Linked DNA regions of Sus scrofa. The protein of the gene in region 2 purifies or fractionates together with the protein of the main gene of each other region. This does not show direct contact. Links are inferred from orthologs where the notes say so. Each region holds a gene or a part of one and is shown on either strand. Other genes may lie near its edges.

Region 1 (4,242 bases), on a different chromosome or scaffold from region 2:
TTAAAAATAACCAAAAATCTCTAAAGAAAAAAAAAAAGAAGGAATAATGAAGTACTCTAAATACCTGTGTATTTCCTCCACTGACATACAGCACAGTTGGGCTGGTGGCTCCAGTGATGAGGCGGCCCATCTCAATGTGGCCTATGCAATGGTTAACACCCACCAATGGCTTATTCCACAACTGGGCAATAGTACGCGCCACAACAGCCACAGAAACCAATGGGGCACCCATACCAGGACCTAGGGAGATAAAAATGGGAGTTAGAATCCAATAGGGATCGGGATAAACAGAACTGGGAGAAAAGGAGGTGTGAGAGGTGGGGTGGGGTGGTGGCAGTAGCAGAGATGGTGGCAGTAATAGAGGCTGCAGCCTATTTTGACCATGCTAGGTTCCAGGTATATCCTTCTTTTGTTGACCACTCTCCCGGCCATACCTTTAGTATACGCAATGCAATCAATATCTTGTGAAGTTAATCCAGCCTCTGTTAGTGCCTCCTGCAGCAGGTCCAGGATAACAGCTCTGTGGTGCCTGGCAGTATCACCTGGAAGGAATCCTAGAAGATGGACATAAGTCAGAAATCATGGGGTCCTTCTACAGAAAGGTAGGTAGAAGTCAAAAACAGACATTTGGAGTTCCCGTCGTGGCGCAGTGGTTAACGAATCCGACTAGGAACCATGAGGTTGCGGGTTCGGTCCCTGCCCTTGCTCAGTGTGTTAACGATCCGGCATTGCCGTGAGCTGTGGTGTAGACTGCAGACGTGGCTCGGATCCTGTGTTGCTGTGGCTCTGGTGTAGGCTAGTGGCTACAGCTCCGATTAGACCCCTAGCCTGGGAACCTCCATATGCCGTGGGAGCGGCCCCAAAGAAATAGCAAAAAAAAAAAAAAAAAAAAAGAAAAAAACAGACATTTTAGTAGGGTAGGAAGAGTCCCTTTCACTTTCCTCAAGCATCCTGTCTTCTATGTTTTCAGATAGTTTTTCCAGCCTGTTCAGCTAGACTTACAGCTCTCAGAAATGCCCTCCTTCATACCCAACTCCTACTTAGCCTTTAGTACTCAATTCAAGTGATGCCTACCTCATATGTTTTGGTGATCTTGTGACCCTACAAGCCTGTGCATGATCACATCACTGTATTAACACACTACATGTAACACAGTAATCACAGCATTACTATTATTTGTAATTTTCCCAGTTTAACCACAATTATCTCAAAGCACTAGCTACTTTATTTTTGTACACTTGGTGCCAAAATGTCTAGAAGAGTGAGTGTTAAACACACGTATATATTTGGAGTTCCCACCGTGGCGCAGTGGTTAACAATCTGACTAGGAACCATGAGGTTTTGGGTTTGATCCCTGGCCTTGCTGAGTGGGTTAAGGATCCGGTGTTGCTGTGAGCTGTGGTGTAGGTCGCAGACGTGGCTTGGATCCTGCATTGCTGTAGCTCTGGCATAGGCCGGTGGATGCAGCTCCAATTGGACCCCTAGCCTGGGAACTTCCATATGCTGCAGGAAGCGGCCCTAGAAAAGACCAAAAAACAAAAAACAAACAAAAACATACATATATATTTCAAATGAGTAATCTGTCACAACATCACCCGACTTTCAGAGAGACTTTTCCGGTATATGCAAACCTCCCATGTATGCAGGTGTTTGGGGGGAGGTTATGCAAGACACAACATAACTTACAAATAACATTTCTAAAAGTGGTAATGGGGAGTTCCCATCCTGGCTCAGTGGTTAAGAATCCCACTAGGAACCATGAGGTTGTGGGTTTGGTCCCTGCCCTTGCTCAGTGGGTTAACGATCCGGCGTTGCAGTGAGCTGTGGTGTAGGTTGCAGACGCGGCTCGGATCCCACGTTGCTGTGGCTCTGGCATAGGCCGGTGGCTACAGCTCCGATTCGACCCCTAGCCTGGGAACCTCCATATGCCTTGGAAGCGGCCCAAGAAATAGCAAAAAGACCAAAAAAAAAAAAAAAAAAAAAAAGTTAAAAGTGGTAATGTGTCTGGTGTTTTAATTCTCAAGTACACAAAGAAACATATTATCATTCCCTTTTAAGAATAAGGAAAAGAAGTCCAAAACCAAAGACTGAATATTGAAAAGCAAGCCAGTTCTGGTACTTAAGCTGGGAATCTTTACATTATTTCTCATTCTAGAATATTTTGATTGCATCTACGTTATACTGTTTATAACACCGTAGTGTAAGTTCTGCTTTTATGTCCAGCTCCACAGCAGGATTATACATCTATTTTTGTATTCAGCAGCCAGTTTACAACTGACACATAAAAGGAGCTCAATAAAGGCTGAACGAACTCAGAAGATCCAGATCCAAGTGTCTGTGACTCCTCAAACCATCAGCCTTGTAATGCTAATACTGTCACACAATCTCAGAGTCGGATCAAAAATTGAGGGGACAATGCGCTCCACGCCCTGCTTCACTAACGTTCAGGAAGATGGACGGTGACGGAGAAGCTCGCCGCAAATGACAAGTTTCCTACTAGCGTACCTGTACCCGGAGGCGTGACGTAAGTGCGCCGAGGGTTCGCCAGCACGGTGCCATCCCGCACCACTCCCACGCCAATCTTGTTGGCGCTGCCTTCAAAACCCAACACCGCCGGCATGGCCGAGCCTGGGAGGAAACGCCGGCAGGGCCCCTAGCTACTACTGGAGCCGTAGAGCCTTCACCAATCCGCGCTGGAATGCAGAAGCCAGGTCTCAAAGGAAGAAAACGAGTTCGCGGCTACCAACCGCGCACCAGGACACCAAACAAGTCCCGCGTTTAGCGCGCGGGCCCTCCCCTCGCATCAAGGTCCCCTCGAGGGCCTGTTCTCTTAATTGCCAGGGACCTTGAGCCGGCATCTGCTCGTTAAATTCCTTTCTGCTTCTCTGCCTCTCTCCCATGGTCCAACCCAGCCTTCTCCACTGATTTTGTTCCCTCCTGCACAGCTTTGGGATCTCCGGTCGGGGCGGCAGTAGGAGTCAAGAATCTGGCACATCGATAAACAGCCCGAGAACGGAGAGCTGGGGCCCTCAGTGCCCTGGAGACACAGAGAACTGAGGCAAGGCTGAGCTTTCGGCCACGTGGCACTAACAGACCAATCATCCGCCTTCCTTCGCCTCCAGACACGCATCTCAGATCACGTGACCACACCAGTTACCACGTGGGGACACAGCGTGTTCCATTCTTTGTGCTGGGGTGAGGAGGAGCTTGACTAGACTCAAGCAGGTCAGTTACAGAGGTGCTCTTCTTTTACCCATCATAGGGGCTTCTCTGGACGTCTGATCGGCAAGCCTGAGTCAGGATTTTTAATTAAGTCCCTGGATTGTCCTGAGGCCCAATATCGTGAGGAGGGTACAAGGCAGTATGAAATGATCTAGTCTTGAGGGTGAGGGTCCGAAAGGCGGACAGTGCATGGAGGCGGGGAAAGAATTCGGAGATAACGTGGTTTGAAGGGCGGGACCTGGTGCGGGGGCGCTCTAGAGAGGAGTCTTTCCCCAGCCCTAGCAGGTTTCACGACTTTTTTGCGTCTGTAGGCAACGCGGTAGAAACACTGCTTCGGTGGGCGACGTGGAACTGCTACAGAAGGGCGTTTATTACAGTGATGCCGAAACGTGGGAAAAAAGCCGCGGTGGCAGAAGATGGGGATGAGCCCAAGTCTGGTAAGAGAGTGAAATGGGCCCCCTCTCCGTTTAAGCGGCGGTGGAGATCTCCGTAATTCCCTTGATGAGCGGGAAGTACAGACCATTTGATTCATTTTTGCAGTTTGTGAAGAAGTCGCGGCAACTGCAGGTTCTCAGTAACTGTATATTTAGCTCCGGATCAAAGTTAAAATACCGCCAACGTTTATCTTATTTTATAGAGCCAGAAGCCAAGAAGAGTAAGGCGGGAGCAAAGAAAACCGAAAAAGAGGCAGCAGGTGATGGGGCAGTCCTGTATGAGGACCCCCCAGATCAGAAAACCTCACCCAGTGGCAAATCAGCCACACTCAAAATCTGCTCCTGGAATGTGGATGGGCTTCGAGCTTGGATTAAGAAAAAAGGTTTAGATGTAAGTGGAATGAAGGGAAGGGTAGAAACCGATCTTGGGGTTTAATTACCTTCTCCTATTTCTGTCCCCAGCACTTAGGTTTAATTCTGTCGGTAGTTTTCTTATGGGAGAGGTACAAGGTTTTCACCAAGTCATACCACTTGTATTTCTTAAATGTCATTAGGACAGTTCTACTGTCATTGTCTTGTTTAATGT
Region 2 (4,632 bases):
CGTACTGTCACCAGCTGAGACTGGCCTTGTCTCAACCAAAGGACTAAAAAGAGAATAATGTTCTCAGTATGAGGCTCAATGTTTGGTAACGCCGCCCTTGGATCTGAGGTACACACGTCACAATTGCAGAGAAAGCCTGTCTGAGGGGTAGTCTGAATACCCAGTTCTGCCAGAACGTGTCTTAGGGACACAGCAAGCTCTTGACAACAGTCAACAGTGGATAACACCACTCGACAAGCGGGATCACAGACAGCACTTAAAATACCTCACCACCTTTATTTAGGTCGAATCCCATATTCATAGCATTCCTTCAAATTTACTGTGAGGTGAGTGGCTGAACTGTCTGTGGTCGTCACGCACGTTCTTCTACCCAACCATGGACCTCTTTCTCCCTCGCAGGCGCACCTCATCTAATTTTTTTAGCACTGGCCTGGCCTTTTTGGAGGCGGCGGCATAGCTCTTTAGAAAGGCTTCAAATACAGTCTCGGTGTTGGGATGGGTACTGAGGAAGGCTTTCTCTAGCACGTACAGGTCCACTCCCTTATCTTCTGGAAGTGCTGAAATGAAACTCAGCCCAAAGTCTATGAGCACGATGTTCAGTTCTTCCAGCGGGGGTTTCAGGAGCATGTTGGACGTGGTGAGATCACCGTGAATGAGGTCTTCGTCGTGCATGCGAGCCAAAACCTGCCCGATTTTCTTGGCTAAGCCGAGGAGACTCTGGGGAGAGTTTTCAGTCTCCATAGTGGATTCTATATAATCTCGAACAGTCACTGAGCCTTCAATTTCTTCCATGAATAAACAGTTGGAAGCATAGTCCACAAAAAAGACAACCGGGGCACATATCCCTGCAACCAAGACACGGGTTAGATTCTTTTTTTTTTTTTTAATAGTAAGCCTAATGTTCAAACTGAGCCAGTTTTTCACAGTGTATATCTGTGTGTTTTGGGAAAAAGATTTAGGAATACTGTAGAATGGTGCAGCTTAACTCCTCCAGAAGTTGCCCCTGCAGGACTGTGTTTAGACCTCCCCACAGCAAGGGTCAGCAGTGCCAAAGCTACCTCCTCCCTTCTACCATTTATTTTTATGCTTTTTTTTTTTTTTAATTTTAAGGCCCACACCTATGGCACATGGAGGTTCCCAGGCTAGGGGCTGAATCAGAGCTGCAGCTGCTGGCCTACACCACAGCCACAGCAACACCAGATCTGAGCTGTCTTTGACCTATACCACAGCTTGTGTCTAAGCCAGATCCTTAACCCACTGAGCAAGGCCAGGAATCAAACCCACATCCTCAAGGATACTAGTCAGATTTGTTTCCACTGTGCCACAACAGGAATTCCCCTTCCACCCTTTATGACTGGACTTCATTTGTAATGCTTACTCCCTAAAATACAAAACAAAGAGCCAGAAGGGTAAGCACAGCCCAGTCAAAGCAGTTTCTATCCGACAAGGACAGGAGCAGGAGGCCGAGCAGCATGTTGGCTTTCAGATTCATCTTCATAGATAGGAAGGACAAGTTCAAATCCCAGCTCCCTTCCTTATGAGGGAAAGTCACATTAATTTCTCTACGCCTCCATTTCTGCTTCAATAACAACAATACTTCCAACAATTCAATGACGTCATTGAATCTGAAGATTCAGTGAATCTCTACTGAATGTCAAGCATGCGTAAGACACTTCTAGATACTGGAGGTAAATCAGTAGGGACACAGCAGGCAGCAATAGCCACCACCCTTGCTTAAAAGAACTTAGATCCTGGAAAGGGTGAAAATAGAAAATATGAACACACGAATCACTTTGTTAAGTCCAAGCATGTCCAGAGATGCATTTGCTACTGAATTTCCTCCAGATCTCCCAGCACCTAACAATGTCTTGGGGGTACAGTATATGCCTAAAAAATACCAGTGAAAGAAAGGGAGGAAATGCAAAAGTGAAAAGCCAGTGTTTCTGGGCCTGAGAGCCTGGCTGGGTCACTAATTACCTGTGTACCCTTGGGCAAATTACTTCTCTCTGAGCCTGCCGTTCTCATTTGAGGAAAGGTTTTTGGTGGTGGTGCTCGGCAGTGTTTTAATGAAAAAATAAACAACTGAATGAAATCTAATGTTTGAGCGCTAAGATTCAGTCATACGTCCAAACATAAAAAACGACGTATATAATCTCGTCTAATGGTCACGACATCCCTATGAGATGAATACTGCTACTGTGACTTCCCTTTGTAGGTGAGGAAACTGAGGCAGAGGTTATATAACTTTGCTGAAAGACTACATATGAAGCAGCGCAGTATTTAAATTCAGACTTCTTAAAAGTAATGAATAAAAAGATGATGCTCGAAAGCTGAGACGGTACAAATGGGAAAACCAAGGCTCAGGGCAGTTAAATGACATGCTCAACTTTGAGCAGGAGTGGGATAGCCGGGAAGTGAACCTGCCACCAATGGCTCCGAGGCAAATGCTAGTCGCTGCAAGGTCAAGTGACTTCTTAAAAATTAATGAATGAAAAGAAGGATGAAAGGATGACATTTTTTTAACGGAAGGCCACGCAGAAGGTACAAACGGAGAAATTGAGGCAAATCGCGGTCTGCAGAGCAGGGGAGCCCCCTCACCCGCGTTGCCCGGACCGCGGAGCCTCGGGGTCCTCCACGACCGCGAGTCGGGCCGCCTCACCTGCGCGGCGGCAGCGGAGCAGCGCCCGGGCCTCCTGCACCGTCCGTCGCCGGCCGAGCCGCGCCTCCAGCGCCGGGTGCCGGTAGCCCTTGGGGAAGCGGTGCTTCACCACGGCCGCGCGGCCTTGGAAGCGGCCGCGGAACACGCGCGCCTCGGCACCCTGCTTCACCAGCTCCAGGCCCCTCAAGAAGAGACTGCTCCGCTCCCGGGCCGCGGCCACCGCTTCCGTCGCGGGCGCGGGTTCCTCATTCGGTTCGGCAGCAGGAACAGCAGCGCCGGCCGCCGCCATGTTTGCGTCCCCGCGCCGCCGCTCGGAACCCCTCGTCTCTCTCCGGGAACTGTCGGAGCTGCTTCGGCTCTTTCTGGAAATCCTCGGACCTCTTCCGCCACCCGAACGCCGACACTTCCGCCTTGTGGAAGTGGTTCCGCCCCTCAAGCTTTCGGCTCTTTTCTAAGCCTCGTGGCCCCGCCTCCCGGATCTTCCGGCTACCTCCGTAAACTCTCGGCAACTCTCGGTAAACCAGTCTTCCCACTCCTCGGCTGTTTCCGGAAGCCTTTGGCGACTCTAGCTGGCGGCTATTGTGGCCCCGCCTCCCAGACCTTCGGCTATTTCCGGAAACTTTCGGCGCCTCTCGCGGAAAACTCTTTGGGAACTTGCTTGCCTAGGGAGTCTCTGGTTCCAAGGGAACTAAACCCACAAGAGTTCTCTTTTTGGAACTCCTCGTCCCCGAGCTCCTGATTCCCCCCAAAGGGGGCTTAAACTAATCAGAATTAGGTGTGGCAGGTGGGCAGTAAACCACGTGGCCCATGTCTTTAGCGCTAAGATAATAATAGCTACGAATTATTGAGTGCATTCTGGGGGAATAAGATTAAATGATGAAAGCCCATTTTACAGGAGAAAAAGATTCAGAGTCAGAGAAGGTGGCGGGCATATGAGGTTGTCGAGTTTTCCAAAGGAGACAAACCAAGCTGACTGGGAGTGCTTAGCAAACAAATTTTTACCCTTTGCTTTAATTGCTGTAACAAATTCATATGATACACAATTTTGCATGCATGAAAAATTAAAGAATGCCTATTCCTGTCACCAGTCTGCCCCACCACCAACCACTGTATAAAGTTTTTTTCCATGTTTTTTTTTTTTTTATATATGTGCACACTCACACAAATGGAAGGCAGCCTGAAGTGCCTGCCGCACTGTGGGATGGAGCAACAAACACTATTTCTCTGAGTTTCAGATTCATCATCTTCAGGACGAAGATCATTACTTTTACTTTAGCAATTGCCTATTAATATTAAATAAGATCTTGTTCATCAGAGTTCCTGGTGGATTGCATACACTCTTGATGTGTTCATTTTCCCTCCCTCACCATGGAGACCTTGTTTGAAATACTGAAGAAAGGCTCTTTGGTCTGAGGGTTGCTATGACACCAACCCTCAGCCGCAGTCCCTGCAAGTTTCATTCATACACAGGGCAGGTCACCTTTTCAAACATTAGATCCTTTATGTTGGCATAATGTGGTTTCCAGCATCTTTCATCAGCCCAGCCTACTTGAAGTTCACCCAGAACCAATTCTATTTATAGCGCTCAGTTTCCCGAGTTGGTACTTTCATTATCATAATTGTTAGTGTCCACATGGTCATCTCCATGGTTACCAAATCTGTCTGAACCCCTCTCTATGGCTGTTAGCATAACTGACAGCATCTTGGGTGTGTATAGTTTCTCCTGTCCTTCCACTGACTCTACCTATGACTGTTCTGTGTAGTAAATCTCTTCTCTAACATCAAGGGCTTGGTAGTTAATACTGTTTAATGAACTTTAGGTCCAGGTAGCCTGTATGCTCTCTTAGCCTCCCAAACAACGATGAAGACCTTTGCTGATGTACTCCTGGCTCCTACAAGACTAGTTACCCATTCATACATCCTGACTTAAGAAGGCCCTTCCTGTTTCCAAGCATGTACCCCTCTACCCTAGG
Region 3 (4,047 bases), on a different chromosome or scaffold from region 2:
CAACCTACACCACAGCTCACGGCAACGCCGGATCGTTAACCCACTGATCAAGGGCAGGGATCGAACCCGCAACCTCATGGTTCCTAGTCGGATTCGTTAACCACTGCGCCACGACGGGAACTCCAGATTTGCCTATTCTTAACATTTAATGTAAATGAATCGCAAAATACATGCCTTTTTGTGTCTGTCTGCTTTCACTTACCATGTTTTCAAAGGTCATTCATGAAGTGTAACATTTATCAGTACTTCACTCCTTTTTGTTGCTAAATAATATTCCATTGTATGGATATACATATTGTTTCTCCACTCGAGTAGATGGACATTTGTGTGTTTTTTAAAATTTTTCATCAAAGTATAGTTGATTTACAATGTTCTGACAATATCTGCTGTAATTTGTCTTATTTCCACTTTTTAGTTATTATGAATAATGCTGCTTATGAACATTTGTGCATTTGTTTTTTATGGGAACATGTTTCCAGTTCTCTTGGAGAACTAGGGATGGAATTAAGAATCCCTAGAATTGCTGGATCATATGATAACTTTAACTTCAAACGGCTTTCCAAAGAAGGTACACTATTTTGCATTTCCACCAGCAACACATGAGGGCTCTAATTTCTTCATATCCTAGCTAACATCTGTTAGTGTTCTTTCTGATTACAGCCTTCCTAGTGGACATGACATGGAATCTCATTGTGATTTGATTTGCCTTTCCTTGAAAGCCAATGACGTTGAGCGTCTTTTCATGTGCTTATTTGCCATTTGTATATCTTATTTGGAGAACTGTCTATTCAAGTCTTCTGCACATTTGGTAACTGACTGTCTTTTTTCGTCAACATGAGGATTTTTTTTTCCATTGAAGTACACTGTTAGTTCCAAGTGTACCACACAGTGCCCCGATATTTCTAGACGTTACAAAATGATCACTATTTGCCTTTTTAGTGTTGCATTCTACCACTTTTCTTTCATAATTGTTATTTCTGAAAATTTTGCATTGCTAATTAAGATATTATTCATACACTGGGGGTTCCCAGTGCAGTGCAGCAGAAAAGAATCCGACTAATATCCATGAGAATGTGGGTTTGATCCCTGGCCTCACTCAGTGGGTTGGGAAGCCAGTGTTGCTGTGAGCTGTGGTGTGGGTTGCAGATATGGCTCCGATCCGGAGTTGCTGTAGCGTAGGCTGGCAACTGTAGCTCCATTCTGAGCCCTAGTCTGGGAACCTCCCTATGCTGCAGATGTGGCCGTAAAAAAAAAAAAAAGAAAGAAAGAATTCATCCAAAATAAAGATAAACTCCATTTTTTTTTTTTTTTTTTTTTTTTTTTTGGTCTTTTTAGGGCCGCACCTGAGGCATATGGAGGTTCCTGGGCTAGGTGTTGAATTGGAACTATAGCCACTGGCCTACACCACAGCAATACAGCAATGCCAGATCTGAGTCATGTCTGCAACCTACACCATAGCTCAGAGCAACTCCGGATCCTTAACCCACTGAGGAGGCCAGGGATGTAACCTGCGTCCTCATGAATATCAGTCAGATTCCTTTCCACTGAGCCATGATGAGAACTCCCACTTTTTTTTTTTCAATGGCTCTACCTATACCTGTCCTTATTCCAACGATAAAATTTGCAACTGATTAAAGAGGAACTTTTGGAGTCAAGAAACAGGACTTCACTCTCACGGAAACAATCCATTGTCTGAAGTTTGTGTAATATTCTGAATTGGTTCCTTCACATTATTAGTTTAAGAGCCTGTACAGAGGAGTTAAGTCCTGATTCCAATATTTAATGCTTAGGTTCTTAAGCTTAAGGCAGTCAAAATGTATCTACCTATTCAAGACAAGACTTAAAACAAAAAACCCCCCAAAAACTAAACCAGTTAAATTTCCCGTTTCCACTTTCAAACTGCACCTACAAAACCGGGAAAGGAAAGGAGTCCCTGAGAGTAAACACCTGTTTATCTGAAATCTCTTCCAATCTTAGGAACCCGCTCCTATTCTGCGATGGACCGCAGTCTTCCAAACGTAATTTCACAGCTGGGAGAATTCCTTTTCATCCTTCAACACCCAGCTTAAAAGCCAGACATGCCCACTATTAGGTCTTCCTGGGTTCTCTAGGTTCGAATAGTTATAGGAGGATCCTAGGGTCATCTTTCCACTCTTTAATGAGAGCGTTTACTTGTTTAATCACTCATCAAAATTCCGCAACGACAGGAACTAAGCCGCATTCACCCTCATTCTTTCTTCAGAGCTCAGTCCAATGATTGGCACAGAGCAGCAGGGGTTCGGCCCGCTTTTCTTTGGTTTTGTGTGTGCGTGTATGTGTGTGTGTGTGTGTGTGATATAAATGAAAAGAGTCGTGAAAACAGCCCTGCTAGGTGAGCCCAGGTTAGGCCTAGAGTTGGCGGAAGGTGCTAACAATTTTTAGTAGGAATCCTTCTTCCTCCAGTTTTCTCCAGTCTGCTGTTTTACACGGGCTCCCTGAGATTTTTCCCGGGGCGCCCCTGCCCTCCCTCCAGTCGCTCCAGCACCATCCCAGAGCTCACCGTCCAAGGCCTCTTCTGGAGCCGCCGCCACCCGGTCCTGAGCTTCCCCCTGTACCGGGGAACCGAAGAGCTCGGCCACCAGCTCCTTCATCCGAGCCACGCCCGACAGCAAGCCCTGGAAATGGTCGGCATTGCCTGGCGCCTCACAGGGCACTCGTAGCCGCTGCCGCTGCCCGTCCTGCCCGACATACTCGCCCAACAGCTCCATGGCGACCGCTGAGCTTCAAGAACGCGCCACAGGGATACGCCACCCGGAAGCGGAAACCAGCCAAGCGCGGGCGCAGGCGGGAGAAGGAAGAGGAGTGACTTCCGTTTGTCGGAAGTCGCTCCTCCCCCTTCCTTCTCTCGGCGTCTTTGGGATTGGTTCCAGGCACCCAGGCCCCGCCTCCTACGGCCCCGCCCCTCGCGCCCGCTTTTCCCGCCTCCGCCGGGGCTGAGCGGCGGTCCGGGTGACAGTTGAGGATGGCTGGAGCCGAGGGGACCGCGGGGCGGCAGTCGGAGCTGGAGCCCGTGGTATCGTTGGTCGATGTACTTGAGGAGGACGAGGAGCTGGAGAATGAGGCGTGCGCCGTACTAGGCGGCAGCGACTCCGAGAAGTGCTCCTACTCGCAGGTGGGCGCGCGGCCGGGCCTTACCTCCCCCGGCTCCCCTGGACCTTCTCTTCCCGGACTTACCTTCCCTCTTCCCGCCTGCCGAGGCCGGCACCTCCGTGGTAGTCCGGGGTCACTGTTTGTCATAGGCTTCCTCATCCCAGGCTCAGCCGCCCTTTTACCCTTAGTCTCGTGAGCCCCCTTCCTCTGCTTGTGTCCGGCAGGGCCCCCTTCGTCCCTCGGTTTTCCTCCGACCCCCCAGGATCTCTAGGCTTTGACCCTGGAGCAGCCTTTCCTTCCTCTCCCGTCTCTTCTCGGTGCCCCGGGTGTTTTTCACGAAACCATCCTCGTGTCCTCTCAAATCCAGACATCTTTGTCCCTAATTTTCCCATCCTTAGTATTTATTAGGAACCAGGTGGGAGTCAAAGCAGAGATAAAGGAGAGATCTCTGGATCTGAAAATCTCCCCATGTGGGCTGGGCACTTGGACAGCTGGTCCTCTGCAATTTAGTTTGACAAGTGCTATCTGGTTTTTTGGCGAGAGGAAGCAAGTACCATGTCTCTGTGCAGTCTGCTACCCAGGAGGATAGACCGGAACCCGAACAGCTGGTGGCTCTGGCGAAGGGGTGGGGGTAGGGGAGGAGAGCGAGCACTTGGAAGATGTTGTGAACAAGGCTTTGAGGGGGTGTGATGTAGTGTTGGGTGACTCATCCTATATTCTAGGTACAAAAATGGAGAAAGGTGGGTAGAAGAAAACTAATAAGAGGTGAGAATTGGTAGGAGGAAGGTTCCTTGGCGGGGGGCGTGTGGAGTGGAACGTTGGAGGGTGAGGAGAGAGACTTAGGGTCATTGTGTGGTGTGGACTGAGATCATAATACCAGTTGTCATCATTGACCAGTTGAATTTACACTGCAGAATG

What was found. The genes of interacting proteins can lie anywhere in the genome.
Region 1: the proteins of TP53RK (region 2) and OSGEP purify together in Homo sapiens (affinity purification with mass spectrometry; 5 studies listed by BioGRID and IntAct, counting the BioPlex papers as one, with this or other methods). This does not show direct contact. The link is inferred for Sus scrofa from reciprocal best matches to the Homo sapiens genes TP53RK and OSGEP.
Region 3: the proteins of TP53RK (region 2) and GON7 purify together in Homo sapiens (affinity purification with mass spectrometry; 5 studies listed by BioGRID and IntAct, counting the BioPlex papers as one, with this or other methods). This does not show direct contact. The link is inferred for Sus scrofa from reciprocal best matches to the Homo sapiens genes TP53RK and GON7.

Annotation. Positions count from the first base shown.
Region 1 is NC_010449.5:78,453,229-78,457,470, reverse strand, and holds the start of OSGEP (probable tRNA N6-adenosine threonylcarbamoyltransferase), read right to left. Parts: upstream 2,801-4,242; 5' UTR 2,621-2,800; coding exon 2,506-2,620; intron 555-2,505; coding exon 435-554; intron 241-434; coding exon 65-240; intron 1-64. Other genes in the region: APEX1 (DNA-(apurinic or apyrimidinic site) lyase), read left to right, coding at 3,602-3,659, 3,860-4,047. UniProt on the Homo sapiens protein: Component of the EKC/KEOPS complex that is required for the formation of a threonylcarbamoyl group on adenosine at position 37 (t(6)A37) in tRNAs that read codons beginning with adenine.
Region 2 is NC_010459.5:48,814,858-48,819,489, forward strand, and holds the start of TP53RK (TP53-regulating kinase), read right to left. Parts: upstream 3,128-4,632; 5' UTR 2,949-3,127; coding exon 2,660-2,948; intron 846-2,659; coding exon 367-845; 3' UTR 1-366.
Region 3 is NC_010449.5:114,588,005-114,592,051, forward strand, and holds the start of GON7 (uncharacterized protein C14orf142 homolog), read right to left. Parts: upstream 2,801-4,047; 5' UTR 2,748-2,800; coding exon 2,540-2,747; intron 1-2,539. Other genes in the region: putative E3 ubiquitin-protein ligase UBR7, read left to right, coding at 3,002-3,151. UniProt on the Homo sapiens protein: Component of the EKC/KEOPS complex that is required for the formation of a threonylcarbamoyl group on adenosine at position 37 (t(6)A37) in tRNAs that read codons beginning with adenine.